4 linked regions of the Notamacropus eugenii genome follow. The protein of the gene in region 1 purifies or fractionates together with the protein of each later gene. This does not show direct contact. Links are inferred from orthologs where the notes say so. Each region holds a gene or a part of one and is shown in the gene's direction. Other genes may lie near its edges.

What was found.
Region 2: the proteins of LRRK2 (region 1) and TUBB purify together in Homo sapiens (co-immunoprecipitation; 5 studies listed by BioGRID and IntAct, with this or other methods). This does not show direct contact. The link is inferred for Notamacropus eugenii from reciprocal best matches to the Homo sapiens genes LRRK2 and TUBB.
Region 3: the proteins of LRRK2 (region 1) and EMD purify together in Homo sapiens (co-immunoprecipitation; 3 studies listed by IntAct). This does not show direct contact. The link is inferred for Notamacropus eugenii from reciprocal best matches to the Homo sapiens genes LRRK2 and EMD.
Region 4: the proteins of LRRK2 (region 1) and NCL purify together in Homo sapiens (co-immunoprecipitation; 3 studies listed by BioGRID and IntAct, with this or other methods). This does not show direct contact. The link is inferred for Notamacropus eugenii from reciprocal best matches to the Homo sapiens genes LRRK2 and NCL.

The regions. Positions count from the first base shown.
Region 1 is NC_092874.1:212,966,524-212,974,094, forward strand, and holds the start of LRRK2 (leucine-rich repeat serine/threonine-protein kinase 2), read left to right. Parts: upstream 1-4,196; 5' UTR 4,197-4,356; coding exon 4,357-4,510; intron 4,511-4,778; coding exon 4,779-4,864; intron 4,865-4,870; exon of another isoform or gene 4,871-7,571. UniProt on the Homo sapiens protein: Serine/threonine-protein kinase which phosphorylates a broad range of proteins involved in multiple processes such as neuronal plasticity, innate immunity, autophagy, and vesicle trafficking.
Region 2 is NC_092873.1:84,575,403-84,583,154, forward strand, and holds the start of TUBB (tubulin beta chain), read left to right. Parts: upstream 1-4,476; 5' UTR 4,477-4,894; coding exon 4,895-4,951; intron 4,952-6,503; coding exon 6,504-6,612; intron 6,613-6,897; coding exon 6,898-7,008; intron 7,009-7,730; coding exon 7,731-7,752. UniProt on the Homo sapiens protein: Tubulin is the major constituent of microtubules, a cylinder consisting of laterally associated linear protofilaments composed of alpha- and beta-tubulin heterodimers.
Region 3 is NC_092879.1:9,699,846-9,708,064, reverse strand, and holds the start of EMD (emerin), read left to right. Parts: upstream 1-4,829; 5' UTR 4,830-5,011; intron 5,012-5,127; 5' UTR 5,128-5,136; coding exon 5,137-5,218; intron 5,219-5,663; coding exon 5,664-5,762; intron 5,763-5,885; coding exon 5,886-5,960; intron 5,961-7,683; coding exon 7,684-7,856; intron 7,857-8,219. UniProt on the Homo sapiens protein: Stabilizes and promotes the formation of a nuclear actin cortical network. Stimulates actin polymerization in vitro by binding and stabilizing the pointed end of growing filaments. Inhibits beta-catenin activity by preventing its accumulation in the nucleus.
Region 4 is NC_092873.1:58,565,998-58,574,317, forward strand, and holds the start of NCL (nucleolin), read left to right. Parts: upstream 1-4,863; 5' UTR 4,864-5,145; coding exon 5,146-5,163; intron 5,164-6,335; coding exon 6,336-6,446; intron 6,447-7,852; coding exon 7,853-8,312; intron 8,313-8,320. UniProt on the Homo sapiens protein: Nucleolin is the major nucleolar protein of growing eukaryotic cells. It is found associated with intranucleolar chromatin and pre-ribosomal particles. It induces chromatin decondensation by binding to histone H1.

The DNA.
Region 1 (7,571 bases):
CTGTCTAGCAGAGATGTACAAGTCCACTTATGAGTTTATGTCTAGATCCCCCTTTTTCTTCAGAGAATTTATTGGCACATCCCACCCAGTGCTTTCCACTCCAACTGCAATAAGCAGCAAACTGATTCTCCCCAGCCTTGTGAGGAGGTACCTCTTGGCTGTGAAGGAAATGGCTAGGGAGCCCCAAAATAGCAGAAACTCTCTCCAGAACACCCTCCACACTTCCCTCAAACTTCAAAACATGACTGTGGCCCCACCTCAGCTGAGAACTTTTTTCTCATATTCTACTGAAAAAAAAAAACAACTGAGGCCCTTTGCTCAGAGTCCCTTCTCCCTTTCTCCTTGTCTGATATCACTCAGATGGCTTCTGCCACTATTTCTTGACCCCAAACACACATGTAGAGGTTGTACTATTTTGACAAGGCAAACCTCTCCATAAGGGATCCCATTCCAATCTGCCCCATCTGACAAAATATCTGTCAGTCATCCCTCCTCTCTCACTTATCTTCAATCTTTCCCTGTCTACTAGCTCTTTCCACAACCTAAAAACATGCCCATGTCTTCCCTATCCTCAAAAAAACCTTCAATTGATCCTTCCATCCTTACTATCATCCTATATATCTCTTTTGCCCTTTGTATCTGAACTCTTCAAAAAGATCATCTGCAATAGATACCTCCATTTTCTTGCCTTCTTAGCCTTTTACAATCTTTTTTTGATCTCATCATTGCATTGAAACCACTCCCTCCAACATTACTAATGATCTTCTACTTGCCAAATCCAGAGGCTTTTTCTCAATCCTTTGACTTTGCTGTAGCCTTTAATACTATCAGTCTCTCCCACTTGATACTAACTTCTCTCTAAGTTTTCAGGACACAACTTTTTCTGCTTCTCCTCCTGCTTATCAGACTCATTCTTCTTAGTCTCCTTTACTGGATTATTATTCAGGTCATGAGTGTCCCATAAGATCCTTTTTCTGTCCTAGACAGACCTTTCTCTCCTTCTGTACTACTTCATTTGATGTACTCATCAACTCCCATGGATTTAATTATTATCTCTGTGCTGATGATTCTCAAATCTACTTATCCACCCCTAACCTTTCTACTGATCTCTAATATAACATCTCCAACTGCCTTTCAAACATCTCAAACTAGATATCAAATGATATCTTAAACTCAACCTGTCCAAAATGGAAGTCATTATTTTTCTCCCTAAGTCCTCACCTCCTGTAAATTTTTATTTTACTGTCAAAAGTAGCACCATCCTTTTAGTTGTCTAGGCTTTTAACCTAGACATCCTCACTATCTCTGCCGGTTGCCAAGGTCTGTTGATTTCACCTTTGCAACATCTCTAAAGTGTATCCCCTTCTATCTTCTTATAGTGTCACCAGCTTGGTGCTGGCCCTCATCACTTACATCTGGACTATTGGAATGCCTTGCTGGTTGGTTTCCCTGTCATAAGCTTCTTTTAAATCCAATCCATCTTATCCATTCAATCACCAAAGTGATTTCCCTAAAGGGCCAGTCTGATCACGTAATGTCCCATACTCAATTAAGACTCTAGTCTAGTATCCTAGTTAGAGGGAGGTATCCTTTCCTAGGCCTTTGATGATAGACTTATTATCAGGTTGGTGACTCCACACTCTGTATAGGCGATCAGAATATACAGAGAACTCTTTTTTGTGGTAATGGTCTTATATAGTCAATTTTTCAAGAGTGTGTTGGCCCATTCCCATCATGGGATCTTCCTGGGCAGGGGATTTAGGATGTATCTTCAGAATGGACAAGGTTTGCAGTATTTGGGGTCATGGCCTGATATACTATGTGTGATGTGGAGTTCTCTCTCATGGGTTCACTGCTGCATAATTTTCTCATTATTATGGCCTATGCAAGCATGAATTCATTGGGCAATGGAAACTATCTGAGCTGCACAGCCCTGGTCAGCTCATTTATTCCATAACATTTTTGTGAGAAGGGACCTTTCTTGTGGGCAGAGACACGAGTAACATGGAGTATTCATTTGCTGAACTTGGAGGTAGCTGCTTCTCCACAGTGAGGCTACCTAGTCAGTCAGTTGGTCACTGGCCTGAACATACACAACTAGGAGACCTTATTTCTATCTAAAGTGTAAACATAATCTAATCCAGGTAGATTTCAGCCTCATGGCATTAAAAGTACACCCTGGCACCCCTTCATTATAGTTTACTGTAACCCAGCTTATGAGGGCAAAAACCAATTAGTTTGTTCTGGGGAGAGATGGATTCCTCTATTCAGATTGCTGGAGGAGGCTGCATCTCATGACCAAGCCATGTTTTTAGTAGAAGGATCTGAAAACTTTTTCCCATCTTGGTAGGATTCTACCAATCAGGATTGATTTCTCCAATCAGGGGCATGCTCTTTCAAAAAAAATATTTAAAGCATTCAGTGTCTCCCTTAAGTGTCTTTGGTTACTGAGAAAAACCATTAATCATCCATTTATTGATTATCAGCTAGCTTAATTCATAAATTGTTTATTTACACAGACACTGCTTCAGGTTATTCATTTTTGTCATATTCCTAGCTGAATTGTGAAGTGCTAGCAACTTCTGGTGGGGTATGTTACACTGACTGTCATTAAAACTTGTTCATCTGATTTGTGCTGGCCTATCCGTATTAGCTAGTTGAACAGATATCTAAATTTATGCAACATCAAACTGATAATGCCTATGTTGTGGCTGGGCTTTTGACTCAGTCACTCTTAAACACATGGAATATAGATTTTGCTGACCTATAAGTATGACTGGCAGGAAGCCTTAAAGCCAATGAGCAGAACAGGAAACCAGCCACCAAGGCTAGTCAGGGAGTCAAAGAGGGGGCTGCTGGCTGGTTTGACATAGAGGGATATGACAGTATGGAGTTCATACAGTGGAAGTATAATAGAATGGGGAAAAGACAGAATAACACAAAAAGTGAGAAAGCTAGAAATTCCTCTGGGACTGTCTTGAGAAGATTTTGAGAGTCCTTATTAGCTACTGCCAAAATAAACCAGCACATAATAGAGACAAATAACTGCAATTTATTTATCCAAGAGACACTATCAGTAGGTAATGGACATGTGTCTGACAATTCTGCAGATTTTACATATATATGTATATCTATAAATACATAGAAAGTCTATATATGCGTGAATATATACATATATACGTAGACTCTATATATGTATATATATGCGTGTATGGGCATCTAGACAGGACAGTGGATAGAAGGAGGAATGGAGAGGGAGGGAGAGAGAGAAGTTTTTTTTATGTTAATGCAGCATCATTTACCTGTCTTCAGAGAAATTAGATGGGATGCAATTGTCACATTTGTCTATATCTCCAATATATTTGTCAACATCTCTAACATTTCAGGAAATATCTCTGGGCTTCTGGGGAGAATTTAACATCTTTTCAAATGCCTCCTCCAATGGCTCAAACCCAAGAATCACAACAAAATCCATGTGATAAAATTGAAGTTGGTCTCATCCAAATTAAAAAGCAAAACAAAAAATCCCGAGCTCAGGCAGTTTCTTTTGGACAGTGATTGCCATCCCCAAATTCCAGAGCCATGCCTTTATTTGCATTCTCTCACTGTTGTGAATTCTTCATGCCAAAGGTTGGCTACGTTCTTAAATAGTTACAAAATTGAGGACACTCATGTTCAGTTAATGTCAGGATTTAAATCCCAAAGTGTTTGTCCCTTCCAAGGGACAATGCCTTTTCTAACAAAATCTTGGCTTTCTATTTGTAAGGAAGGAACTAAATTACCATGCCTTTCTTTCCTAGGTTCCCTGAGCTCTTGGAGGCTTTCTCTCCCACTCCCTCTCCAGTCTGTCTCTCCCACTCCCTCTCTGAGCTGTCACTCCCCTGTAGCAATCTCTTGCATTCTAACCAGAATTCCTCTGCTCTGCTGGTTAGGGCTAAGTAATCCTTAATCTTTTAAATCCAGCCTACTGGAGTCCATCTGCCTTGGTCTCTGGGCAGGTCAGTACTCCTGGGGACCAGAATCCAGGCCCGACTGGTGCTCTAGTTGCAGTAATTTTGGATTTATGACAGACTGGATTAGAAGATGCCAGGATTAGCGGCTTCTAGCGGCTTCCTCTTATCTCCTCCCCTCAAAGTTTGCATCGAATTCATTTTCCGGCCCTGGGGTGGGGCGCTAGGAAGACGTAGAAGGAAGGGCGGGGTAGGGGCTGTTTTCCCAAACAGGCCAAAGCCACAGAGCATGCCTGCATTGGGGACTTTCTGGAATCCGCTGGGTCAGCCTTCCCCAGTTCAGTCTTGGAGCACTCCGGCTCAGAGTTAGGGGCAGGGGGCACCTCGGGAAGGAGTCGGGTCCGTCATGGCCAGTGGCTGCAGCCTCGGGGATGAAGAAAAAGAAGAGGAAACTCTGAAGAAATTGATAGTTAGGCTGCAAAATGTGCAGGAAGGAAAACAGATAGAAACCCTGATCCAGATACTAGAGGATATGCTGATGTTAACGTACTCTGATCACGGTAATCCTGTAGTTGTTTCCTTTTTTTTTTTAAACTTGGGGCAAATATGGCAATAGAAGGAATATAACCACGTCCGTAAAAGCACGGGCCCTTCCAAGGAATCTTCTTGCAGACAGTTTTCTGCATTGGCTCAGCCTTTTCGGGGAGCACAGATCGCTTTTAGGAAAAGAATTGAAAACGAAAGGACTTGCTTTCTCTTATTTTCTTTCATTCTTCTGCTTTTAAAAAGCTGCAGCGAATAATAGTTTTCGTTTGTTTTCTTCCCCAGCTTCCAAGTTATTTAAAGGCAAAAATGTCCATATGCCTTTGCTGCTTGTTTTGGATTCCTACATGAGAGTCGCAGGTGTGCAGCAGGTAAAATACGCTTGATTTTATCTTTTCCCTTTCCTTTTTGGAAAGAAATATTTTAAACTCAAAGATCTTGGGAGAAACTGTCCTAATGAACCCCTTATATACTTGGTCTTATTATTAAGAATACACTGTTTTTGTGCTTGCTGTGATTTTTAAAATGGTGAGGGTGTTAAATGTTTTTTGAACATTTTTTTTAGTGCAAAAGGATAGTGACTCATTGAACTAGCCTTTAAATAATAGCATAAAATACATTGACAGATGACAATTGTAGTGGAATTGTTGGAGGAGGGAGCTAATAAGGTGGAGAAGCCGGTAGGTATTAGGGGAATGAAGATGATCTCAGGTGAGAAATAAATGTATGAATACAAATATTTAACCATTTATCATGGTTCAAAGTGTAGTACTGTAGCTCATATGGCCACTAAAATATTTAGCCAAGTTAATCAGTTGTGTTACATATTGTCACACAACAAAAAACTCCTTTTTATCTTTGCATTTCCCGCAACAGTACAGTGTCTTTTACTTGGTAAGTCCTATGTTGCTGTTCAGTCCTGTCTGACTCCTGACTCTTTGCGATCCTGTGGACCATACATGGTTGTTTTCTTTTTTGTTTTGTTTTGTTTTGTTTTTGGCAAAGATACTGAAGTTGTTTGCCATTTCCTTCTCCAGTGGATTAAAGCAAATAGAGATTAAATAACTTGTTTTAAGTCACACTGTTAGTAAGTGCTTGGGGTCATATTTGAACTCTGGTTTTCCTGATTTCAGACCTAGTCTAACTACTTAGCTTCCTCTAAGTGCTTAAAAATGTGAAACCGAATTAAGATATTAGCTATATTGTTAAGATCCTCACTTGGGATATAAAATTTTTCCTTAGTACTGTTCAAAAGATCTTAGATGTAGAACTGGAAGTAATCTCAGGAGTTATCAAATCTAATTCATGTTACAAGTTAGGAAACGGAGTCACAAAGGATAACTAATTTGATCTAGGTCACTCAGACATTAATATTAGAGGGAAGGTTCCAGACCCAAGCCCTCTGACTCCAAATCCACTTTGTCATACATATAGATTGGACTCAGTAATATCTCTTATTGCTACTCTTCTTTGTTTCCATCCATTGACTGAGTTTGCTTTGCAGTATCTAGAGAGTGCTTTTGTGCAGTGCTAACACTGCAAGTTATATTTCATTTGTATTTTATGATCAAGTCCAAAGACAACTAGGTAATTTTGTGTAGTACTTTACATGGCAAGAAAAACACATTCTCTTTTCCCCGTTACCATTTATTTTTTTTCAGTTTGAGTTGAGATGTAAGCAAAATAAAATTAAAACAAAGATATGATAAAGACTTTTTTATATTTTTCAACACTAGGTTACTATTAGACTAAAATAAAAATTTCCCCTATGGCATATTCCAATATTTCATTTCAGCAACACATTTATTAAATGATTATTTTCTATGAAGTACTGTGATAGACCTAAACATAAAGATAATTAAAACATAGTCCATGTCCTCTGGTACTTATAGATAGATTTTTGATTTTGTTGTAGTCTGATGACCTCTCATGTTAACTTTTTCAGTTAAGTAAGTTTGTGTTTATCAGGTGACCGACATTTCCCTTCTCCAATTAATGTTTGAATTAGGTCTAAGGTAATTGATGGTATCAAGAATCCTCTGGAAACAGTCTGGTGTGTAAGCTGGATTTTATCTGTACTGTCCATAGGAGTTGTTAGACTGAAGTCCTGGCATATGTCTGAAACCCTTATATCTTCCTAGACACTCTGCAGATCAGGGAGCTTAGTATTGTACCCATATCTTTCTGAGGTAGTTCAAAATTGCATTATACTCTCCAGTACAGGAACATTTGATGGGTCCTGTGATAAAGGCACTCAAAAGTAGGTGTAACACTGCCAGTGTTCAGGGCAGTGGAAGACTGACTTAAAATTTAATAGTTTATCATTTTCTCATTCGGTGGATAGAATTCACAGTACCTCATTTTAAAAAGGAAAACAACCTCTTAGAGTGGTTGGTGGTGGTAGTGGTGATGATGGTGGTGGTGGTGGTAGATGTGGTGGTGGTAGTAGTAGTGATACCATCACAACTCCTACAAATAATAATGGTGCTAGGCACTGTGCTAAGTGCTTTACAAATATTATCTCATCTGATCCTCACGACAACCTTGGGAGGTAGGTGCTGTTATTACTGTCATTTTACAGTTGAGAAAACTGATGCAAATAGGTTCATAGGATAGAATTTTTCACTGTTTTGTTTTATTTTTTGTCATGCCAGACTATATGTAGAAGGAGGTCATAGTCCTGCTGCACATAACCCTGAAGACACTTGAGTTTTGTGTTATGTTCTGGGCAGCACAGTTTTAGAAGCACATTGATAAACTGGATTTCTGTTAAGGTCATCCAGAAGGGTGAAGAGCCTAGAGTTCATGTCACTTAAGAACTGACTGAAGGAACTAGGAATGTTGAGACTGGATAAGAGAAAATGTGGGATAAGGGTGGTTTAGGGTGTTTATTTGAAGGGTTGTCATCTAAAACAGGGATTAGACCTGTTATGTTTGGCTTTAGAAAAATAAAGCTAGGAGTAATAGGTAGAAGTAGCCAAGAGGTAAGTTTAGGCTGGATATCAGAATAAGTTTCTTAATAATTTTATCTGTTCAAAATTGGAATTGATCACCTCAAAAGGTAGTGGGTTCCCTTTC
Region 2 (7,752 bases), on another chromosome or scaffold:
GATGTAGTTCCAAATTGTTTTCCAGAATGGTTGGACTAGTTTTCAATACCATCAACAATTCATTATTGTTCATCAACAGTATCATCAATAGTCCCATTTTTTTCCACATCCCCTTTAGCATTTGTCATTTTTCTTTTTGTCATGTTAGCCAATCTGACAGGTATGAGGTGGTATCTCAGAGTTGTTTTAATATGCATTTCTCTAATCAATAAGGCTTTAGAGAATTTTTAATGTGACTATTGATAGCTTTGATTTCTTCTTCTGAAAACTGCCTGTTCATATTCTTTGACCATATCAGTTAGGGAATAGCTCTTTTTTAATATATAAATTTGATTTAGTTCATTACATATTTGAGAAGTGAGGCCTTTATCAAAGAAACTTGCTATAAAGTTTTTTTTTTCCCATCAACTAGTATTTGTTAATTATGTGTCTATTATATGTCAGGAATTGTGCTAAGCCCTAGGGATCCAAAAAAGTCCACAGACAAACAAAACTGGGCCCTGCTCTCAAGAAGCTCACATATTAATGGTGGGGGGGGGAAGGAAATAACATGCAAATAATTGTGTATAAACATGATATATATATAATATATTATAATATATAATATAATATATTATTAAATATATACTATAATGTATACTATACTATAATATAATAATATATAATGATATATATATATATATATATGATAAATTGGGCATAACCTTAAAGGGAAGGCACAAAGAGAATGGAGGTTTGGGAAAGAGTTATTGCAGAAGGTGGGATTTTAACTGAAATTTGAAAGAAGCTACGGAAACTATGAGGTGGCTGTAAGGAGGGAGAGCATTCTAGGCTTGGGAAACAGGCAATGAAAATGCCTAGAGTCAGGAGATGGATTGTCTCGGAACAACAGCAAGGAGGCCAATGTCACAGGACTGCCAAGTATGTGTAGAGGAATAAGGCGTGAGAAAACAAGAAAGGTAGAAAAAACCAAATTACAAAGGGCTTTAAAAGCCAAACAGATTTTATATCTGATCTTGGGTATTAGGGAGCCAGTGGAGTTTATTGAATAGGGAGATGAAATGGTCAAATCTGCCCTTTAGGAATATCAATTTGACTGCTGAATGAAGGATGGAGTGGAGTGGGGAAAGGCAGGGAGACCAACCAGCAGGCTATAGAAATAGTCTAGATCTGAAGTGAGGAAGGACTTCACCAGGGTGATTACGTCAAATGACCCCAACTATTGAGGAAGAGATTCACTGTTTGACAAAAACTGCTAGTAAAACTGGAAAGTAGTCTGATTTAGACCAACACCTCACATTATTTACCAAGATAAGATCCGAATGGTTATATGACTTAGATTTAAAAGGTCACATAAATAAAATGAAGGAGAAAGGAAGAAATTACCTTTCTTATCTGGATAGGGGAAAAGTCTGTGACCAAAGGATTACATAAGATAAAATGGACAATTTTGACTATGTAAAATTAAAAGTTTTGCACAAACACAATCAATGTAGCTAAGCTTAACAGAGAGATAGTTAAGTTTTGCAGTAAGTTTCTCTAATAATTGTCTCATTTTCTGGATATATAAGAAATTGATTGGAAGAATTAGTCATTCCCCAAATGACAAAGGATATGAACAAGGAAGTCTCACAGGAAAAAATACAAGTTATCAATAGCCATATTTTAAAAATGTTCCAAATCATCAGATCATCAAAGGTGACAAAAAAGGAAAACGGTAAATGTTGTAGGAGCTCAGGGAAAACAGATATATGCATTGTTTGTGGAGTTTTTTAATTGGTCCAGCCACTCTGAAAAGCAATTTGGAAGTATGCCCCCCAAAAGTTACTAAATTGTGCACATGATTTGACCCAGCCATACAACTTACTATGAAGAGAGAGGGAAAGAACCCATATGAAAATGGGTTAATGGGAAAAACATTTGTAACAGATCTTTCTGAGGTAACAAAAAATTGGAAAGTAAGGGGGAACTATCTACTAGGGGAATGGCTAAACTAATTTTGGTATGCAAATATAATGGAATACTATTCTGCTGTAAGAAATGATAAAATGGACAGTTCTGGAGACTTTTATCAGCTGATCTTAAATGAACAAGAAGAACAATTTGTACCATAACAACAGTGTAAAAATAAACACATTGGAAATACATAAGAATTCTGACCAACACAATGACCAATTATGATTCTAAAAGACTGTTGGTGAAGAATGTTACTCGGAATGGACCAAATATGCAGAATAAGACATACATATTAAAACATTGCCAATGTAGGAATTTATTTTACTATTCATATTTGTTACAAGGATTTTTTTTCTTTTTTTCAGAATATTTTTTTCTTTTTTCAGAATATTCCCTATTCAGTGGGAATAGAAACAACAGAAAAAAATGCTTGTAATTTTAAAAGTAATTTATTGACTGGAGAGTTGCTGAACAAATTGTGGCATACAAATGTAATGGAATATTATACTAAGAAGGATTATTGGGAAGTGATAAAGTGTAAAAAAACAAAACATAATAAAACATCTTTTAAAATAGAATAGGGAATGCAGATCTTACAGACTATTATAAAGCCACTTAACTCAGGCCTGAACAACTTGTGGCAAGGATTTCTTCTACATACAAAGGATGTTTTCCTGTACATTTTTTTGTAGGTTCCCCCCCCCCCTTTCCCCCAAATCCTTTGGCATGCTATAATCAGTCTGAGGGTCGTTAGCTCCCAGGGCTGGTTGTGCAGGCCTGACAACTTCTCAGTGCCCTAGGTAATTCTCTTAAAACTACAAGTTGCAGAGAAGTATAGATTTTTACTAGTGGAAGAAATTCACTGTACAAAAGAAACCACAGGTCCAATCCCAGTTCTCTAAATGGGCATAAAACCTGAAATACCTACCTTCAAAATAATATATGTATATGTAAATACATGCATACACACATATGTATATATATGACTTACTGTTCTTTGTGTTATTATTCAAAAATAAAATATTATGTGAATACTATATATAGTATTATACATCATATGTAATAATATATTATATATGTATGTATATATTATATAGAATATTATATGAAGCAGTCCTATATGTAACCAGAAGTCCCAGTTCACCTAATTTTCAATAAGGAAATGATTACATCACTTGCTCCTTGGACAAATCTCACCACTGATAACATGATATAACTTTCTCCTACTAGGACTATGGATAACGGATAGAGTGCTGGACTCAGAGGTAGGAAGATCTGAATTTGAACCCTAAGTCATTTTAACTTCTACTATCTGTAAAATGAGAATAAATATAGCACCTACCACACAAGGTTGCTGTGAGAATCAAATGGGATGACATATATGTATATATTATACATATATTGCTATGAAAACCCTGTAGTATTTTATAAATCCTAGTTATTTTATAACATCACTCTAAAACAGTATTATATCTCTCCATGCCTCTATGTTCCATGGAAAAGTGACCCTATGAGAAATGTCTGAATTTGAACTAAACTCATTTCTTCTCCCTCTGTCCCCAAGCCCAATCTTTCTTCCTTCTAATGGTCCTCATCTCCAGCTCAGGTGCCTAGGAAGGGTTACCATGGTGACCATGTTGCTATGACATCCACCATACTAGGGACATTGATTTGAATGGGGTGTGGAAACAGCTACCTCCTATAAATTCATTGATACTTTTTAAGGGTCCTACATTTGGGGAGGCAAGATAAAAGTGCCATGAAAATGTATGAGTTATTGAACCCCTCAGCCATTTTCTCTCCTTATCTCAGCTTAGACTTCCCTGGATCAATTACCGCAGTTCTATTCATAGGAATACACCTCAGGGACCCAGGTATCTGACTTCCCAAGAGTCAGGTTTTCTTTCACAAATTCATTATACATGTCCCTTCCAGTCATTTTTTTTTTTGACAGATGCATCTGTGTCCTGAAATGTCTCTAGCGTAATTTTCTCTTTGGGTATTTAAAATACCCTTATCCAAAAACGCCCAAGGAAATCACCCACTGAGCAAAAACCACTACTCCATCCATTGTGACTATCCCCTGAGAGGAAAAAGAGGTGGATTGCTGAGATGTGTGGGTGATGTAGATCAGTGAGGCAAATAAGGATGGGGTTGAAGATCGCAAGAAAGAACTGGAACTTCGGGGTATCAGAGGCTAGACACCTGAGTCCTGGAAAGATCAGTGAGTCCTGTAACTGTCTATCCCAAGCTCATACTTGGTTCTCCCTACATTTCTTTGAATTTAGCAGGCCAGTGGTAGGAATGCTGCAGCAGGAAGTCCCAGGACATACCAATCCTGAAATCACATCACTACCTCGCTTCCCTAGACTTTCCACTTACTACAGACCTAAATCCTAGTCTCCTCTAATGTCTAATTGAAAAAAAAAAAAAGACCTCAAAACAGTGGAATGCCATGCCTAATTTTTTTTTTATTCATAAAAAAAATATCCCACACCCACCCCACTCCTCCCTTCTTCATTTTGCAGCGTGGACAACAATAGAGAACTACATTTCCCGGTGAAGATAGCGCTTGATCCCCGGAGGAGCGGCCAATGGGTACCAGACACTTGCCTGGTATGGACCAATCAGTTCTTCTTTAGACAGGCTTTGTCCACGATATAGCTGGCGCCTACCTCTTCATGGTTCCCTCCCCTCAGGCCACGCAGCGCAAGCGCGACCCGCCCTGCTTCTCCTCCCTCGCTTCCCCTCCCCCCTTCCTTCTTTCTCCCTCTCAGAACGCTTGTGTAGCTGTGTTCTGAACTAGCAGCTCCAACCTTCCGGGGAACCTTCTATTGAAAAAGAGCTTGTTCAGCGGAAAGGAGAAAATATATATATTTATATATCATTCTCTCCTCCCTGCACATAACTTGAGACAAAGCAAAAGTAAATTCCAACCATGAGGGAAATCGTACATATCCAGGCTGGCCAGTGTGGCAATCAGATCGGTGCAAAGGTAAGGATTTTGATTTTACATATTCTTTTCACCTCCATTGATTTTTTTTTTTAAAGGAAAGAAAATTTAAAAGATTTCCTAAAAAAAAAAAGTAGTGGCGGGACTGTCGCTAGCTCCCGCTCCCTGCCCAAAGCAGCACGACCCAACAAATAAATAATCTAAGCATTTCTTTGCGGCGGGAATTTTCATTAGAGAAATCTGTAGCTTTTCTCCCCTTATTCTCTTACCTGGTTTAGTTTTGTTGGCGTGTCGCAACCTGGTCCTTTCTATCCGTTAAGAAGGGACCAATAAAATTATTTAAGATTTTAATGGATTAACTGGAAGGTGTGTCTCTTTCCCCTTGTGGTTTTGGGGCTGGGGTTGAGGGAAGGTGTAAAAGGGATCTCTAAGAGACTTTTGTGTCGGAGATGGATGAACGGAAACGCGCGAGACAAAGCGAGGCCAGTGCTGTCCCATGTGCATCTCTGCCTCTCTCTGTCTCTCCCCGCCCAAAACTGTGACTCTTGCCCGAATCCTAAGGGAAAGGTGAGGAGCTGCATTGTGCACTGAGCTGGAGAAAAAGGGGATGAAATAGGAAGGTGGGGTTTGGGGGGGACTCGTAGTCCACCCTCCCCCCCAAAAAATATATGAAACGTGGAATTTTCCTAATTTCTCTCGTTCTCCTTTGTGAGGTGGAAGGGTGAGGGGACTTTTCCCCCTTCCCTTTCTGAAAGCCCTCCCTTTAAGGGCGGGAGCGGGGGTGGGGTGGGGTAGGGTGCGAGTTCCCGCGCGTTGTCTAGTGTTCCTTGTGGATAGTTCCACAAGGACAAAGAGTTAAAAAATGGGTGACAAGGAAAGCGAATCCAATACATAATGAGAAAAAAAATGGAAACTGTAGCAAAGAAACAACATTTTAGGGTAAAAGTGATCCTTCTCCCTGCCCCCCAGTTCGAAGATACTGTGTAACGGATGGGGGTTGAAAGGAAGTGGGAAGGAGAGTTTGCAACGTTGTGGCAAAAGGGCGGAGCCCGGTTGGGGCGGGGCAAGAACTCCCTTGCGCTCCAGGGCCATGCTGGATAGAGGAAAGGAGCCCCACCCTTGGCTCCCATTGTCCATCATTTTCCCCCTTTCCTTTCTCGCACCTCCCACAGCCTCGCTCTATAGTGAGTTCTGCGGGATGGGTGGGTAGCAGCTGCAGTGCCTTTTTCTTTGTGCGCATCGGAGGGGCGTTGCCTGATGGGGGAAGAAGGGGAGGGCGACAGTGACCTTTATCTTTCCTAGCCAGAGACCCAGGCATCTGGCCTCAACCGTCCTCCTGGATTACCTGGAATGAGTCGGCCTCCTTCAGTCCTATTATCTCGTGCATTTATAGGGCAGGATAATCCTGTAACAAGCTTCCTGTGCATCCCATCTGTTCCAGGAAGGGAGGGGGAGGAAATCCCCTGGGTTTTTTAGGGGAAAAAAATGACTCCTGGATTGAGCAGTTTTGGAATTGAGAGCCTATCATGAAAGTGGGGGAGGAGAATTTTTAATCGATTTTTCTTCTCAACTTTTTACTCGTCTGTCTGCCTAGTTCTGGGAGGTGATAAGTGATGAACATGGCATCGATCCCACTGGCACCTACCATGGGGACAGCGACCTGCAGTTGGACCGGATCTCTGTCTACTACAATGAGGCCACCGGTGAGGGGCAGGAAGGGAACTCTCCCCTCGATTCTGCCTTCTGAAATAGGGGGGAACCATTTACCCTTGGGAGACTCTTTCTCCACTTTCCAGAGGCTCTGGTCATCTTCCTCTTCGCCTTTACGCACACACCCCCCTTTCTTCCACGGGTAATCGCAGACTAGTTCTCGACTGCCACCTGGTGGTAAAAACTAGAATGGAAGCGGGAGGGCCACGTATTAAGGGACCCCCGGAGCCCTCCCTTTCTTTCTCCAGCCTACACCTACTCTGCACTTTCTCCTACAGGTGGCAAATATGTTCCCCGGGCCATACTGGTTGATCTTGAGCCTGGAACCATGGACTCTGTTCGTTCTGGACCTTTTGGCCAGATATTCAGGCCAGACAACTTTGTTTTTGGTGAGTTGAAGTGAATTTCTTAAATAATGTAATGAAAAAGGGTAGAGAGGTGGTAGCTTTGCCACTGGGAAAGTGGGTGGGGAAGAGAATATTTCATTACTGGCAGTTACCCCAGGTAAATTCCCAAATAATCATCACTCTTGAATTTGAAGGTTCTTCATTAAGAAGGGGTTTGAATCCCCTGGATAGGTTAGGATCTTGTGGAAGTAAATTTAAAACAGAAGCAAATTAACATACTGGTGTTTTCAGATAATTGAGGAGTCTTTAGGGGGATCTTATCAGTGCAGAATGATGGGGGAAAGGAATTAGAAACTTCAAAACTGGGATACAGGTTCAATGTAGGTTGTGGCCAGAAGAGTTCTAGAAAAGTAGGGGTGACCTGGATGGAGGCAAAATAAGGGGAATGATTGAGGGGTTGAACATTAGCTAAGAGGATCTCTAAGGCAGTAATGTCAAACTTAGAAAGAGGGACCACTAAATTAAGGATCCTTGCTGGCTGCATATTTGGTTAGAAAAGCACACATTAATGTTATCTGTGTTACTATATTTCAATTTTTATTTAAATATTTCTCAATTATATTTTAATCTGGGCATGTCTGACACCTCTGTTCTAAGGTATAGGTGGATAAAAAATCTTAGGTGATAGGGGAAAGGGTTGGTGGTAGTGTGGGATATCACAGCATCCCTTCCTCATCTACCCTGCTTCCCACCCCCAATTCCAGGCCAATCCGGGGCAGGCAACAA
Region 3 (8,219 bases), on another chromosome or scaffold:
TCATTCTTTTGGTTTAGTTTTGTAATTTCTTGGTTTCTCATGAAGTCATTAGCTTCTATTTGCTCCATTCTAATTTTTAAAGAACTATTTTCTTCAGTGAGCTTTTGAATCTTCTTTTCCAGTTTGCTAATTCTTCTTTTTAAAGGATTCTTCTCCTCATTGGCTTTTTTGACCTCTTTTGCCATTTGGGTTAGTCTAATTTTAAAGGTGTTATTTTTTTCAGCATTTTTTTGGGTCTCCTTTAGCAAGCTGTTGACTTCTTTTTCATGATTTTCTTGCATCATTATCGTTTCTTTTCCCAATTTTTCCTCCACCTCTTTTACTTGATTTTCAAAATCCTTTTTGAGCTTTTCCATGGCCTGAGACCATTGCATATTTTTTTTGGAGGCTTTGGATGTAGAAGCTTTGCCTTTGATGTCCTCCTCTGATGGTAATCATTGTTCTTCCTTATCTGAAAGGATGGAAGAAAATACCTTTTCATCAAGAAAGTAACCTTTTGTAGTCTTATTTTTTTCCCCTTTTTTGGACATTTCCCCAGCCAGTTACTTGACTTTTGAGTCCTTTGTCAAGTGGAGGGTATACTCCAGGGACCTGTAAGTTCTCAGTTCCTCTAAGGTGGCACAATTAAGGGCACAATCTCCTGGCCTGTACTCTGATCTGTGAGCAACCACAATCACTCATTTCTGTCCTGAAATTATGAATAGGGTTCCCTCTCCACAGTCACCACCTGCTCCACCACTCCAGCACCAGTGCTCCTTCTCACCCCATGACTGCTACTCTGGACTGGGACGAAGATCAGCTCTTTGATTCCCCCAGGGTCTTTAGGCCAAGGGCTCTAAAAGTGGACGCTGCTGCTGCAGTGGCTGCTGCTGCCCTGGGGCCAGGGCTGGGGCCAGATCATGCTCCCCTCCCATCCAGGTGAAAGAGCTTTCTTACTGACCTTTGAAACTATCTTTGGTGTTGTGGGTTGAGAAATTTGGGAGACTCAGCTGCTACCCATGCTTCCGCACCCTGAGACATGCTCCAGTCCTGTCCTTGCTGCATGCCAAGACCAGGCTGTGCTCTGTGCTGAACCTGGTGCAGTAGGCCCTTCCTGTTGGCCTTCCAGGCTGTCTTGGGCTGGAAATCTGTTTCATTCTGTCATTTTTTGGCTTCTGCTGCTTTAGAATTTGTTTAGTCATTTTTACAGGTATTTATGGGCAATGGGGGGAGACATAGAGCAGGTTTGTCCTTCTACTCCACCATCTTGGCTCTGCCTCCCCATTTTTTCAAAAAATATGTTTCTTGTAAGAATCAGACTGTGGAGTTTTGTTTTATTATTCAATCTGTCACTTTCTTTCATTTTATGGATTGTTTAACCCAATCACGTTTAAAGCTACAAATTGGGTTTATGTTTTCCTCCAGTTTTTCCTAATGCTGTTTTTCTACAAATTACGGGTTTTTTTCCCATTCTAAACACAGTATAATGTCTCTTCAGTTATTTTACCTTAATCTTTTTTTTAAGGTGGCCCTATTCCCACTGGCTTTTCCCCCTTCATCCACAAGTCCCATTTTCTATTTTTTGCTCCTTTTCCTGATTTTTGGAGTTTTGCTTATTAGTTTCTTATTTTTTAAAATTTATTTATTTAATTCTTCCCTTCTTTTCCCCCTCTTGGTTAAGTAATCAAGTAGAATTCTCTTTTTTCTCCTCCTGATCAGTGCTTTGTTAGTTTTTAAAATTTTTATTTCCTGTATCTTTTTTCTAAAAAGAAGTTCTTTCTTTCATTCTCTTCATCACTTATCTTCCCTTTCTGCCTAGTTTAGACCTTTATTCTTTGATTCATGGCCCACAAATTTATTTAGTCATTCTCTTTTCTCTGTGTATCTTGTGGAATTAAGCCTTTTGAGGTTCCTATTTTGGGTTCTTTCTTTTAAACACTGATTTTACTTGGGATCTTACTACTACTTTGGGATCCTACTACCTCTCTGACATCTCCTTGTCTATCTCTTTTGCTGGATCCTAATCCAAATCACACCCTCCACTGGAGGGACACTTAAAATCCCTCAGGGTTCTGTCCTGGCTCTCTTCTCTCCTCCTTCTACACTATTTCACTTGCTGATCTCATCAGATCCCATGAGTTTAATTACCATCTCTATGCTGACCATTTTCACATCTTCCTTTCCTGGCCCAATCTCTCTGTTGGTCTCCACTCTCTAATCTCCAACTGCCTTTCAGACATCTTGAACTAGATTTTCAGTAGACATCTTAAACTCAATATATCCAAAATAGAACTCATTTTCTGTCCCCCTAAACCCTCTCTCTTCTCTCCCATCTTTCCTTTTTACTGTAGAGTTCATCACCACCCTCCTAGCACCTTAGTCTCTCAGTCCAGGAGTCATCCTGGATTCCTCACTATCTTTCACCCCCCCCCCCCATATCCAAGTTGTTATCAAGATCTGTCCATCTCATCTCTGCAATATTTCTCTAATATTTCATCTTTTCTTCTCTGATACTGCCATCCCCCTTGTGCAAGTCCTCATCTCCGTGCTTCTAGACTACTTCAATAGTTTGCTGGTGGGTCTGCCTGCTTCATCTCTCTCCTTTCTAGTCCACCTTCCATTTAGCTACTAAATGATTTTCCTAAAGTGCAGGTAAGATTATGTTGTCACCCTCTACCTCCTCCCCCAGTGTACTCAGTAAACTCCAGTTGCTCCCTTTTGCCTCCAAGATCAAATACAAAATGTTCTGTTTGACTTTCAAAGCTCTTCATGACCAATTTATCTGCTTCTTCCTCTGGTACTTTTAATCTTTTTAAAAAATAGCTTCCTTCCTCTATTGCTTACTTTCTCACTCCCTCCCCTTTGATGGTTTTCATAGGGGCTGGATGTTAAGTGTCTCAGCCTCCTTTGCTGGTTAATTCCTGGTTTACTAGCCTTTACTAGGTCTCTGCTCCAAATGACTTTTAGTGGGTAGAACTGGCCACACCTGCATGCTGGGCTCTTTTTCTCAGGCTCAATGAAGTGCCATACATTTCTTACTTCCTCTTCCCCCTTTTGCCCATTCTCTCTGTCCCTCAGTTCTCTGGTCCGATGGCACAGAATGCTGCCATGCTGCTATGACAGCCTGAGTGAACTTCTGCTATTTGGAGTTTGGATCTCTACTGCACTGTGGGTAGGGATGGGGGTTGGGGGTGGGTATGGAATTGAGGTCTGTTGCCAATGAATGGAGCTTAGTGAATGGCAGAGGAGGGGATGTTGGGTGAGGGCTCATTAGAGGGTAGGGAATGTTGGCTTTTTCTGTTGTTGGTTAATTTAGTTTTTACCTTGTTTGGATATTTGATGTCTTATACCCTGTAGAGAGCTGAAATTGCTTTAGCTCCCACTCATAATTCCCATTTTGGAGAGGTCTGAGAGTTCCTGAGGATCTGTGAAAATATCTAGGCTGCCATCTTGTTGGTCATGCATCCCAAACTCTTAAGAAATAGTCAGTAAAGATATATTAAGTACCTCCTATGTCCCAGATACTGTGCTAAGCGCTGAGGATACAGATAAGAAAAAGAAAGAGGGCCTCTGCTCTCAAGGAGTTCACAATCTAATGGGGCAAGCACAATACACAAAAGAAAGCTGAAAAGGGGGTCAGGAGCCACCAAGAGTATCTTGTAGGGACATGAATTTTGTGAAATGGAAACTAAGGAAAGCTGCTGGTGGAAAATAAATTCTTGTTGAGTGTAATTGCAGCAGCAGAAGCCAAAATAGTTCAGCAGGCTGGAGAGGGGGAGGGGGTTATGGTATTTTACTGTTTCATGAGCTGCTCTGGGTGGAGGATAAGAAAAAACACTGCAAAATCTAGTCTTGGGCTGTTGTGCTTTTGGCAAGTGAATTTTTTCTTTTACTGGCCAGAAGCTTTATGTAGAAATGGCAGGGGGTTCTTGGGATTCAGGGCCATTTTGTATGTTCTAGCTACTGTGCGCCCTTCACTGGCCTTGTTTGTATAGAAATGGGAGGGAGTTTCAAGGAGCTGGGGCTGTTTAGTGCATTTGATGGTCAGTCAAATCCAATTCCATGCAAGTCATATCATCATCTCCCAGATGTCCTGGTCCTTTTTGAGTAAGGACAAACCACAACACAACAACTTTGATGGCTGCCCTACCAGATTTCTGCCCAGAGCCTCTGTTGTTATGTAGCTACAGAACAGGCAAGTTCTCCAATTACAGGGGCTGAAGATGAGTCAGCAACGAGAGAAGAATGACCTAAACGACCCCAGACTCCAAAGCCCCTCCTGCTTCTTCCCATACAAGGCCAGAAGTGGGGGCACAGGGCTCTGCCTCACAAGGGCATGTGGTCAAGCATGATCAATGGGGTAGGGACTGTGTGGCTGCCCCTTCCACAGACCCAGACAATGGGAGGTCCCAGGGGCCCCTGAAGAATGTGCTAGAGAGCCCTGATTTTTTCCGCATTATTTATTTTGCTATGTGTTTGGGTGAGGTTCATCCTTTTTAGGGATGCTTCTTAAGTTCTGGGGGGAAAATACGTAACAATGTTTCATGGTTAGGCTTTGTTGCCCTGTCTGAGGAGCCAAATCCACGGGGTCCACACCAAAGGGCCTCCAAAACAGCACTGGGCAGTGCCTCGCAAAATGAATAAAAAGACGAGAAAATACGAGCCATGCAAACAGGCACTAGGCTACCACTGAGATCCTTATGGACACTTAGCGCCCTTGGCTCTGCAGTTGGAGCCTTGGGCCCCGCCCCCTTGGCCTCCCCTGTCGGCCAGCTCAGCCTCGCCCCCGCAGTCCCTGCTCAGCCCCGCCTCGCCCCTTTGCTCGCCAAGCCCCGCCCCCCGCCGCCCCTGGGCTCGGGCCTTGGCGCCCCCGGCCGGACAGGCCCCGCCCCTCGGCTCTGGCCACGCCCAGACCACGCCCCGGCGCTCACTTCCCGTCGCGCCTGTCGTCGCCCGCCCGCCCGCCGTCGCCGTCGCGTCCCTCGCTCGCTCGCTCGCTTGCTGAGGAGATCAGCCATCTCTGCCCTGTCTGGTAAGCACTCCCGCCCCTGGCTTCTCTCCTCAGGGCGGGCCGGGCGGCCGAGGAACGTCGAAGCTTCTCGAATCGCTGCGGCTCACCCGCGCCCGCCCCGTCGGGCTTCCCCCTAGGTGTCCGCCATGGAGGACTACCGCGGCCTCTCGGACCAGGAGCTCGCTCGCCTGCTGAAGCTCTACAACATCCCCCACGGGCCCGTCGTGGGTGAGTGTGGACGAGGAGGGAGGGGCAGAGAGAGGAGGGAGCCGGGAGAGGGGAGAGGGAAGGGGCGACATCTCCGCCATCCCTCCTGGAGCCTAGGGGGTGTGGTAGGGCACCGAGTAGGTGAGGCCGCCTGCCCCGCCCCCAATCCCATATGTAAACTGAGGGCACCTAGGCCCTTTCTGGCGGGTCCCATGCCCAAGAAGCCACCTCCCGATCCTCAGCGCTTGAAACCGAATGTGATCGGGCATATTGTTGATTGACACCTGCACGGTAAGAGCGTGAGATCTCCTGGTGGATTGGTGGGAGTTCTGTGATTTCTCCCGTCATGGGTGCACCTTCCCACCCCATCACCACTCAGGCCCCCCTGAGTTCCAAAGGCCCTCCAAACTTGGGGGATGCTCTCTGGGACCTCTGGGAACACTCACCTGTCCGTCCGTGAATCTAGGTTCAACCCGAAAACTGTATGAAAAGAAAATCTATGAATATGAAAGTCAGAGAACCAAGCTTTCCCCTGTGACTGCCAGCTCTTCTTACCAATATGCAGGTGAGGAGGAAGGGTGGGACTCATTGAGCAGAAATGAAATGCTTCTCCAGTTGTGGGATGACTTGGGGAGTGTGACTAAGGAAGGCAACTTTTCTCACAGTGTATCTTTCTGTTGTGCCACAGAGGATTTTGAGGGTGAAGCTTATGGTTCCAGACAGGGACAGGATGAAGATGAGGACATGGATGAAGGTGATGAAGGTGAGTGTGGTTCCTGTATCCTAGAAGGCTTCAGGTTCACCCTAAGGAGTGGTAGGGCCTGGCCTGGTTTGGCATTGCCTTTCCCTAGCTGCCTGCAGTGCCATGGGGCTGTTTGGAGGCAAAGTGCATGGTTGGTTGTTCTGTGACCCCTTGTCCCTCTCTGCAGCTAGAAGCCAGTACTTTTGGGCTAGACAAATATGAGCTGCTCCCAAGCGAGGCTCCAAGGGCTCTCACTGATAAAGGTGAGGGAGGAGACCTATGATTCTGGCTGAGCCTGGCATTAGTGTGCCAGGGCCCAACTGGGCTGGGCTGGCTTCTGTTATCCTTATTGTTTGCATGGACATCTTTTCCTCCCAGTCACATTGCCTGCCCATTCATTCATTCATGATCTCATTTCATGGATTAGCCACAGCAGGTAGTTTGGGAAGCAAGGATGACTGTAATTATTTCATAGTTGGAGGCAACTCACTTGGGGCCTGACCTTGGCAGCCTGCAAGTCTGTTCTTTTTTTTTTTGTTAAATTATTTTATTTTCAGTTTTCTGCAATCACTTCCATATATCTTTCCCCTCCTTCCCCACTCCCTCCCTGAGACGGCGTGCAATCTTATATAGGTTCTACACATACATTCTTATTAAGTACATTTTTACCTTAGTCACATTGCATAGAAGAATTAAAATGAATGGGAGAAACCATAAAACAAAACATAACACAAGAGAAAATGGTCTGCTTCATTCTGCAATCCAATTCCTTAGTTCTTTCTCTTGATGTGGAAGGCGTTTTGCCTTGAGTCCATTGGGAATTTTTTTAGGTCCTTGCATTGCTGTGGGTTAAGTCCACCAGAAAAATTCATCACACACTGTGGTTGTGGCTGTGTGGTTCTGCTCCTTTCACTCAACATCAGTTTATATAAATCTTTCCAGGTCTCTCTAAAGTCTTTCTGTTCATCATTTCTTATAGCACAATAGTATTCCATTACATTCATATGCTACAACTTGTTTAGCCATTCCCCAGTTGATGGGCATCCCCTTGATTTCCAGTTTTTGGCCACCACAAAGAGAGCTGCTATAAATATATTAAATTTAATAAGTTCTAATAATTTAATAATTATATTAATTGAATAATTATATTATTTTAATAATCAACAATAAATTTAACAAATATTTATCAAATAATAAATTTAATAAATTCTAACAATTTAATAATTGTATTATTTTAATAATTATAATAACTTAATAAATTTAATAGATATTAAATAAAATATATAAATATAAATAAATGTGGGACTCTTTCCCATTTTTATGATCTCTTTGGGATACAGTCCTAGAAGTGATATTGCTGGGTCAAAGGGTATACGCATTTTTGTAGACCTTTGGGCATAGTTCCAAATGTACAAGGCTGTTCTAAGCCCAAGTCTGGAGTCCTTGGCCTCCAACATTTATATAGTGCTTACTATGTGCTGGGCACTGTGCTTAGCACTTTACAAATATTATCCTTTGGGCCTCACAGCAACCCTGGGAGTATAGATGTTCTTATTCTCCCCACTTTACAGGATGGAAACTAAGGCAGACAGCAGTGAAAGGTCACAGCTAGTGAGTGTTTGAGGCCAGATTTGATCTCAGGTCTTCGTGCCTCCAGTGCCCAGGTGGTATTGCCCCACTTAGCTGCTTCTACCAAAGCCTTGGTCTCTGGCACTCTACCCTTTTCTTCCTCTGACTCTTCTAGTTGACTATGACAATTACTATGAAGAGAGTTACTCAACTACCAAGACTTATGGGGAGACTGATATTGGAGCCATCCCAGCAGCCAAGACCAGGACCAGCTTCCAGGAACCCCTGCCTTCCACAAGCTACAGCAGTGGCAGTTCCAAGCCACCTACTTTTCACCTGCGCCAGCGGGTAAGTGAAAGTTCCTGCCCCACTCCCCACCATCTAGGTGCCAAAGTCAGCTAACCTTTCAGTCTTCCATATCAACTATTAAATGATGAAGGGTTAGACTGTGATGCCATTGATATTGGAGCAAATTCCTCAATGAGGAAGTCCCCTGTGCCACAACATACTGGTACCATAACTTTAGCAAGTTTCCCAGAGCACCTAGGGCCCCCCAGACCCCATGTGTCAGAGAATAGTAAGACTTGGAGCCAGCTTTTCCTGTTCTGAGGCTGGCTTGCAGTCTCTGACACCAGAGGTATCTAGCTCAGGCCTGTGGGCAACCAGCAAAACTCCTAAGTGACCTCTGAACTCCATGAAAATGTCACTAGG
Region 4 (8,320 bases), on another chromosome or scaffold:
TGCCTCACTCAAATCAAAGTCAACCGCAAGTCATGTCACCATCTTGATGTCATGGTCCTCTTTGAGAACGAAGGATAACAATCTGTGAGTGAGTGGCAACTTTTCTCTCCCCTCCCTTCCCCTCTCCTCTGGTGTTCTACCCAGGGGAAGGTACACTCCTTGGCCAAAAGTTGCCTTTTTTTCTTTGGGTTTACTGGCTACATCTCTCGCTCAAAGAGCAAGTCTTAAGCCCAAATCATTCTGGAGCTCAAGACTAGACAAGTCCCCACCCACCTAACACAGACTGAATGTAATAACTAAATAGTAACTGTTTCTCTTTTACCCAGGAACCCTGAGGGTCTTCTCCTGCCCAGTTTGATTTTTTTTTTTTTATTAAAGGGGCCATCCCTTGAGTAACTTAAAGATGCTTATTCATTGAATGGGTGTACCTCACTCAAAGTGAAAATGTGATAAGACCTTAGTTTGAATGGGCCAGGGTCATTGTATCCAGGGTCATCTCCAGTCATCCTGATGAATATCAGGCCACTGGACCCAGATGGCTCAGAAGAAGAAAGTGAGGTTGGTGACCTTGCACAACCCTCCTTCACTCAAATGAAAGTCAACTGCAAGTCATGTCATCATCTTGATGTCATGGTCCTCTTCAAGAACGAAGGACAAAACTCAAAAACCTATTATCAGTGATCTGGAATATTCTTTCATGTGGCTGTTAATAGTTTGCAGTTCTCCTTTTGACATCTCTTTCCTGCCATCCTTTGAAAGCTTCTCTGTTGGGGAATTAGAGCTATCCATGTCACATGGTAGGTTTTGAGGCATTTGAAGGTCTTTGCCCCGAGGCTAGATGATGTTCCTCAAGTATGTTGTGGAGGAGATGTCTTCTGGGAATGGGGTCGGGCAGCCTCTTCCAACTCTTAATCCTAGCAAATGTAGCATTTCTTCTGCGGCTTTCCTCTCTTTGGTCCCATTTAGATGCCCAAGACTAATGCCAAGGAGTTTGAGGATGTAGACAGGGGGAGAAAAGAGAACTTTTTTCTATACATTATCTATAGGGTATTTAAACACATTAGCTCAGTGCTACCAACTGGACTAACCCACAACTTCAACATGTCCAGAAGACATTCTCTTTTCTCTCCAAGCCTCTCTTCATACCGACTTTTTTATTATTGTCAAATGCACCACTAACCTTCCAGTCATAGGCCTATTAGTGATTGGATTTTAGAAGCACTTATGAACTACTGAAACTTCTTAAGGAGGAGACTGACTTAGCAGGACCAGTGATCTAGGGAAATCATTCTGGTAGCAGCCATGTGGAGGATGCAAGAAAGTGAAGGTAGAGACCAGTTAGGGGGTATTTATTATAGTTGTTCAAATGAAAAGAGATGTGGTCCCGATAGGAGGGAAAACCAGTTGGGAGAGGGGGCAGCCTGAGAGTGAAAAGGGAGGGGAAAATGATGATCTGGTGGTACAATTCACAAAACAGAGTCAAGAAAGACTCCAGGGTTGTGAACCAGTGTAGCTGCAAAGATGGTGGTGCTCTCAACAGGTGTCAGGAACACAGGATGTCAGAATCAGAAAGGCTTCCAGAGTCTCCTTGGGGTCACGGTTATATTTTCCATATTAAAAAAAAAAAAAGCAATGAGACTTTAATGACATTTCGGATAGTTTGGGGCTTAAATATTGGGGTATTTCTTTTGTATAAATTTCACCTACCTATTCTATCACTGAGCCCACACCTCACTCTCCTCTCCAGTCTTCAATCTCTCCCTATCTATTAGGTGCTTCCCCCACTGCCTACAATCACACACTCCATGCTGGGGTGTGCTGGTAAATGTTCAGGAACCATCTCTCCAGGGGGGCAAATGTAAGGCAGGGCATATTTTTAAGTGTAATCTACATTATTAAAACTTTCTTAAGTTTAGACAATTAACAAAATAATTCAAGTTCTGATCTGCAACAATTTCCAAAGCGTAAATGCTCACATTGAAAATTTAATCATCAGCTCCCAAGCAGGTTGGAGCTGGCTCCAGGATATCCCTGCACCTGCATTTCCCCATCCTTAAAGTCCATCCCTCCATCTTAATGTCTCTCCCCTCCCTTCAGTGCCTCAGTTCTTTGGAGATCACCTACACGAGGTGCCTTGGTTTCTCCTCACTCCAAAATCATCCATGATCTGCCAATCACTCTGTTTCTCAGTCCACAGCCTTTGACACCACTGATCACCCTCTTCTCTTCATCATACTTTTCTCTCCAGGTTGCTGTTTCCTGGTTCTCCTCCTACATGTCTGACCTCTCCTTCTCTGTCTTCCCCCCTTGCCCTGGATAGCTGTGGCTGCGGACCAAGGTCTTGTCCTGGGTCCTCTTTCCTTCTCATTCTGTATTCTGACACTGGTGATTTCATCAACTATCATGGACTCAGTTATCTCTGAGTAGGTGGCTCTGGGGTCTCCTTGGGCAGCCCTAACTTCCCTGCTGATCTCCAGGCTTGCAAACTACTCAGTGGGTACCTCAAACTGAGTGTTCTGCACACATCTTAAACTGAAAAAAAGCAACTCATTTTCTTTTCCCCAAATCCTTCCCTCATCCTAACTTTCCTGTTCCTGTTGAGAGCCCCCTTCCTCCCTGTCCCTGAAGCTCACTTCAGCCCACAGACAATCAGTTGTCAAGACCTGCATTTCTCCAACACACCAGTGTCAAAGTGTGCAACTGAGAAACAGTCAGAGCAATTGGCAGATCACTAGTGGTTTTGGAGTGAGGAGAAACCAAGGCACCACGAGGTGATCTCCAAAGAATTGAAGCACTAAAGGGAGGGGAGAGACATTAAGATGGGGGGATGGACTTTGAGGATGGGAGATGCAGCTGCAGGGGTATCTGCTTTCCTTCCCTGACACCCCTCCCTCCATGCAATCACCTCTAGTGGCTCCCAATTGCCTTCAGGATCAGACACAGAATCCTGTTTGGTTTTTACAGCCTTTTGTATCCTGCTGCCTTCCAACCGTCTCAGTCTTCTTATACCTAATACTCTGAGTGCAGTGATACTTCCTCCTTGTTCACATTACGCTCCATCTCCCAACTCCAGGCATTTTCCCTGACTGTCCCCTCCACCTGGAGAGCTCCCCCTCCTCCTTTGTGTCCCCTGGCTTCCCTTGAGTTCCAGCTAAATTTTTGCTTTCCCTGAAAAGTTCTCCCCAATGCTCCTTTGTGTTCCTTCTCTCCAAGTCGGCCTCTCTCTACCTTGTTTGCAGACTGACTTCTGTATGTGGTCTCCCCCTTCTTTAGGGCAGGGACAGCCTTTCTTTGCACCCCACCGCGTTTAGCTCAGTGCCTGGTAGACTGGTATCTAGCAGGCAATTAATAAATGCTTACTGATTTAAGTTTCCACAAAAATAACCTTAGTCAATCAGATGTGATACAAAAACCTAGCTAAGATACAACCAATGTTTTCCCCTACCTACCAGTCTCATAAAGCATCCAAAAAGGCAATCTGGTCGTTGGGCCTGATTTGTTTCAATTAAGCCAGGCTGCCTCTTGGAGGTCACTGCTTCCTTGTCTAGATCTTTAGCCCTTAACAAAGGAGGCAAAGTGGAGCTCCCTGGCCTACATCTGGCAGACTCCGTTTATCTTTCCTTGGTCTTCTGCAGCCCTGGGCTTCCCCTCCCATTCTCCAGGATCCCTCTGAGGTCACATCTGCTCATTTCTGGGTTCCAAAGGTGTCACTCTTACCTGGACCTTTGAGGGCCCACGATCTTGAACCCCAAGAATCCCTGGAAGGAAACTGTACCTATCTGAGAGAACCGAGTCAGGGAGCGGCTTACGAGGCCCCACGCTGTCCTGGCTTTGGGGATCTCCAGGGGTGATGTGGGTGTCACCGAAGGGAGGGCCTCAGACAAAGGGGAGAGCTGGGTCATTTCTAAATCGTTGGCACAGACCTGGCAACATTCACACACTTCACAACTCTTTCCTGTTCTTTTCCTCTCCGTCCTGGGGAGCCGCTCACGACCTCCTCAGCTCTGCTGATTCCTCTGGGCTCTTTATCTAATGAGACTGTAGCCCCTGCCCCCCAGGGCCTGGAAGGGGCCAGCTGGGCCCTCACTGATGGGGACCTGGCCCCCAACCTCGCTCATCTGTGAAATGGGGGGGCCTAGAGCAGAGCCTGCCTCACAGCGGGGAGTCAGGACCCGGCCCCTGCAGTGCTGCCTCCCGGGGTCCTAGACTCCCTCCAGGGGCTGGTGGGTCCCTGCAAGAACAGCAGCCCACCCCCAGATGTGGGGCCGCAGGGTCATTCTGCAGATGGGGAAACTGAGGTCAGGCAGGGTTCCGGTGTGGAAAGGCGCGCGTGCGCACACGGTGTTTGATCAAGGCCTGGCTGGGGGGGGGGTGGGGCTCTCACCATCCGGGTTATCAGGCAGGCCCCGACCCTTCCTTAGCCCATTATACCGATGGGGTGCCCTGGCCTCGGGAGGCGGCCCAGCCCCGCACAAGGATGGGGGGAGGGCTCTTGGACGCTACAAGGGCCTCTTTTCATTGGACAGACGGGGAAACCGAGGCAGGTGGCGTCTGAGGGGCTGGCACGGGGTCCCGGCTTCCCCCGCACCACGCTGGGTCCCCCCCGCCCCCCGGGGTCGCACCCCAGCTCCCCTCCGGAAGGCCCAGCAGCCCAGCGGGGCTCAAGATGTCCGCCGCCGGGCGACCAGACACCACACGTGGGCAGGCTGCACCCGGCGCCACGTGCTCCACCGCACTCCGCCGCGTTCCGCCGCGTTCCATTCCGCTCCCGAGCGTGCCCCACTCGCCGGCCAATCAGCGTGCCGCTCCCACCTCGAGTCCCGCGCGCTCGCGCGCCCTGCGCCCCGCCCCGGCGCGCCCCGCGTTCCTTCTGCCCCGCCCCCTAGGCCGGACTCGCTCTGGGATTGGCTGGCGCTGGCTCGGGGGCGGGGAGCAGGAGCTGGTTGGCCGCGGGGGCGTCACGGGGTCGGGACGAGCTCCTTTCCAGTCGCGCCGAGGGGGCAGGCTCAGTCTTTCGTCTCAGTCTCAGCCAGCAAAGGGCTGCTCGCGGACGGACTCCTGCCCGCGCTCTCCACCACCACCGACGTTGCCTCGGCCTCGGCCAACGGATCTGCACCCTCCGCGCCGTAGTCACGCGCCGCCACCATGGTGAAGCTAGGGAAGGTGAGAGGCGGCGGCCTAGCGCCTCCACGCGCCCCCGGGGCTGCGGGGCCTAGCGGGCCTGAGCGGGCGGGAGCGGGGAGGAGCGCGACGGCGCGTGCGCAGCGCGGGGCTCCCGGGAAGTCTCGCGCGACTCGGCGCCGCCGTGGCCGTCGCTGCTTCTGCTGCCCCTGCGGGCGGGAGGCGGAGGGCCCTGGGAGCCGGGAGCCCAGAGCAGCGGGAGGGAAGGCGGGGAGGGAGGCCGCGCGTGCGCGCTGGGAGCCGAAGGGGGGGGGGGGGAGCTCCGGGGCGGGGGCCGCCATGAGGTCATCTCCGTGCGCCCAGCTCCCGCTGGCGCACGTGTCCAAGCCGCGCGCACGTGGGCGCGGGGCTCGCCCGCCATGTGGCCCCTGTCTGACAGACCCGAGCCGGGGCCGCGTTCGCGTCCGCGGGTGGGGCGGCATCGGGGAGGGCTCAATCCTCCGTCTCTGGGTGCGCGCGGACCTCGGGTCCCTTATCTGTCAGAAGAGCAAGTCTGACCACGTGGCCCCGGTCCAGCTGACCCCTTACGTCCCGATGTCCGACTCCTCCCTGGGGTGGCTGGGGGCGGCAGCGGCCCTGCCCTAATGGAGAGGAGCTGGGCACTGACTGCCCTGCAGGACCCCAGGAAAGTGCAGGGGATGGGGGGAATCAGCCCCTAGGAGGCTGAACTCTTAGCTCGTGCTTTCGGCCCACGTGGCCTTGCTGCGGGGAGTCCTAGTCAGCCCGAGTCAAGGGGTTGGGAAAGTCGGGGCCATGTGAGACCTCGCTCGGGTCCTGGTTCACAGTGAATGTTAAAGCTGTTTACTGGAATGTGGCGAAGTCGTTCCCTTGAAACAGGCTGGAGCCGGCACTCTTTGTTGTCTTGGAGCACTTCGCCTTTTAACCTGGTGATCTTCCATTTCAGTGTGTGGGAAGCCCGAAGTGGACCGGCATTTTCAAATATTCTGAACTTGTTGGTATCAGGAGGGAGGCTAGAAAGGGGGAAACCTTTCCAGAAGGAGGACTGCTTAACCTGAAATGAAGGGTTTTAGACCCATTTTAAAGCTGGTAAATTTTATAAGTGTAATTGTTATGGTTGATGCTTCTGAAGAGCACTTGAGAGAACTTGTGCTGCTGGAATATAAATGTTGTGCTCTTTTGGTCTTTTATTCTAGGCTGCTAAAAATCAAGCTGAGCCAAAGAAAATGGCTCCTCCCCCAAAGGAGGTAGATGACAGTGAAGATGAGGATATGTCAGAAGATGAGGAAGAAAGCAGTGGAGAAGAGGTAACTTTGCAACTTCATCCAGAAATGATTAGTTTTGTTCTGTAAAGAAAAAGAGGAGCAAACCAAGCTCTTCAGAGTTTAGAAAGGAATTTGTAGGCAAGAATTTCACTATAGCTTGATCCTGTGTAATTGTTTCATTGGCATCTGTTCATTTTAAATGTTCATTAGATGAAGAATCATTTTGGGGGGCCTGGTCACAGCAATTTTCAAATCTGGGTTTGATTTAAGGGAGAAATTAAGTAACAATCCAGACTATTTGGGGGGGTAGGCAGCTTGATTCATTTCTCATTTAAGGGCAGAGGTGAGTCTTGGGCACCACACTCTTTTCTAGGAAAGATGCTTGGTAGTACACATCTCAATGTGGAGTTAGATGAAATTTACAGGGCTTTTGTGAGCACTTTCTGGACTTTGCCCAGGGCATGTAAATGTGGGCTAATTAATGCTCGCAACTAGGCAGGACCCCTGCCAGCAGCTTTTGTTGGGCTGATTGAGTCCATTGATTGAACTAGAGTTGTGGGCTGTTAGAACAACTCTGGCACAACTAAATATGATGGGCTCACTGAGGTGATGATGTCCTTGGAAGGTAAGAAATATTCAATGTTGACAGAAAACAGTGTTGATTTAGACACTTTAAAAATCTAGCATAGCCTTCAAAAGTAGAGGTCCAGACATTAACTTGGATAGCTGGGATGTAAATTCTATCCAAAAGTGAGAAAGTACCTAAAGTACAGACTTGGCTCCTTTCCATATACTTGACTGTTTGCTGGTCTGTAAAACAGGTTAGACCAAGTTCTTTCCTAGCTCTGACATGACTTGGGAGGATTGGGAATTTCTGAATCTAGAGTCCTTAAGAGGCAGTATCCTAGTGGCAAGCTAGGATTACAGACCTTTGTTCAGAGGGTAACGTCCAAGCCCCTCCTGGGTGAAGAGCCCTGGCAAGCCCGAGGGAGATATTTAGACCAAACTCCCTCAGGGAGCTTATCCTCTAGCAGTTTGGACCGAGTTGGGTGTGCAGTACTTTATGGTAGCTGGCGTGGAACAAATTGTATGATGTACCCAAAATAGAGCAGAGTAACTAGTGGAGCTGCATTGCCCTCTTTGGCAGCCAGAATACACTGTTGGATTGAATTAGCCATGTACAGTGCCTGCTCCTCCCTCCACCTTTCCAAACAGTTTGTAGTCCAGGCCTGACTTTTGAGTTCCAGCACTTCATACCTGTGTGAGCAAGTCCTCAGGGTGCAGCTTGTAGGAGAGATGGATGGGGGGGGGGAATCAAATGACCTCCCTTGTTTGTTCTTTAGCTCCTTAGAGTCTGGCTCGATATTTTTGTCTTGAGCTGTTCTTTTTAGGTTAAAAAAATGTTTTGTGAATTGTAACACTTGGTAAATGAAAATTATTATTACTAGGTTGTAGTTCCTCAGAAGAAAGGCAAAAAGGCTGTGGTGGCCACACCAGCAAAGAAGGTACCACCGGCCAAAAAGGCTGTTGCTGCTGCCATGCCAGCCAAGAAAGCAGCTGTGACTCCTGGTAAGAAGGTGTCCACCCCCACCCCAGCCAAGAAGGCAGCAACCCCCGCCAAAGCTGCCATCACACCAGGCAAGAAAGGAGCTACTCCAGCTAAACTAGCTGCCACCCCAGCAAAAGCAGCAGCCCCTCCAGCCAAAGGGGCAAAGAATGGAAAGAACGCCAAGAAGGAGGACAGCGAGTCTGAGGAAGACGACAGTGAAGATGAGGAGGATGAAGAGTTTGAGCCTCCCAAAGTCACAAAAATGGGAGCCACTCCCGCCAAGCAAGACTCTGAAGATGAGGAGGAGGAGGAGGAGGAGGAAGATGAGGACAGTGATGAGGACGAAGAAGATGAGGATGGTAATAAT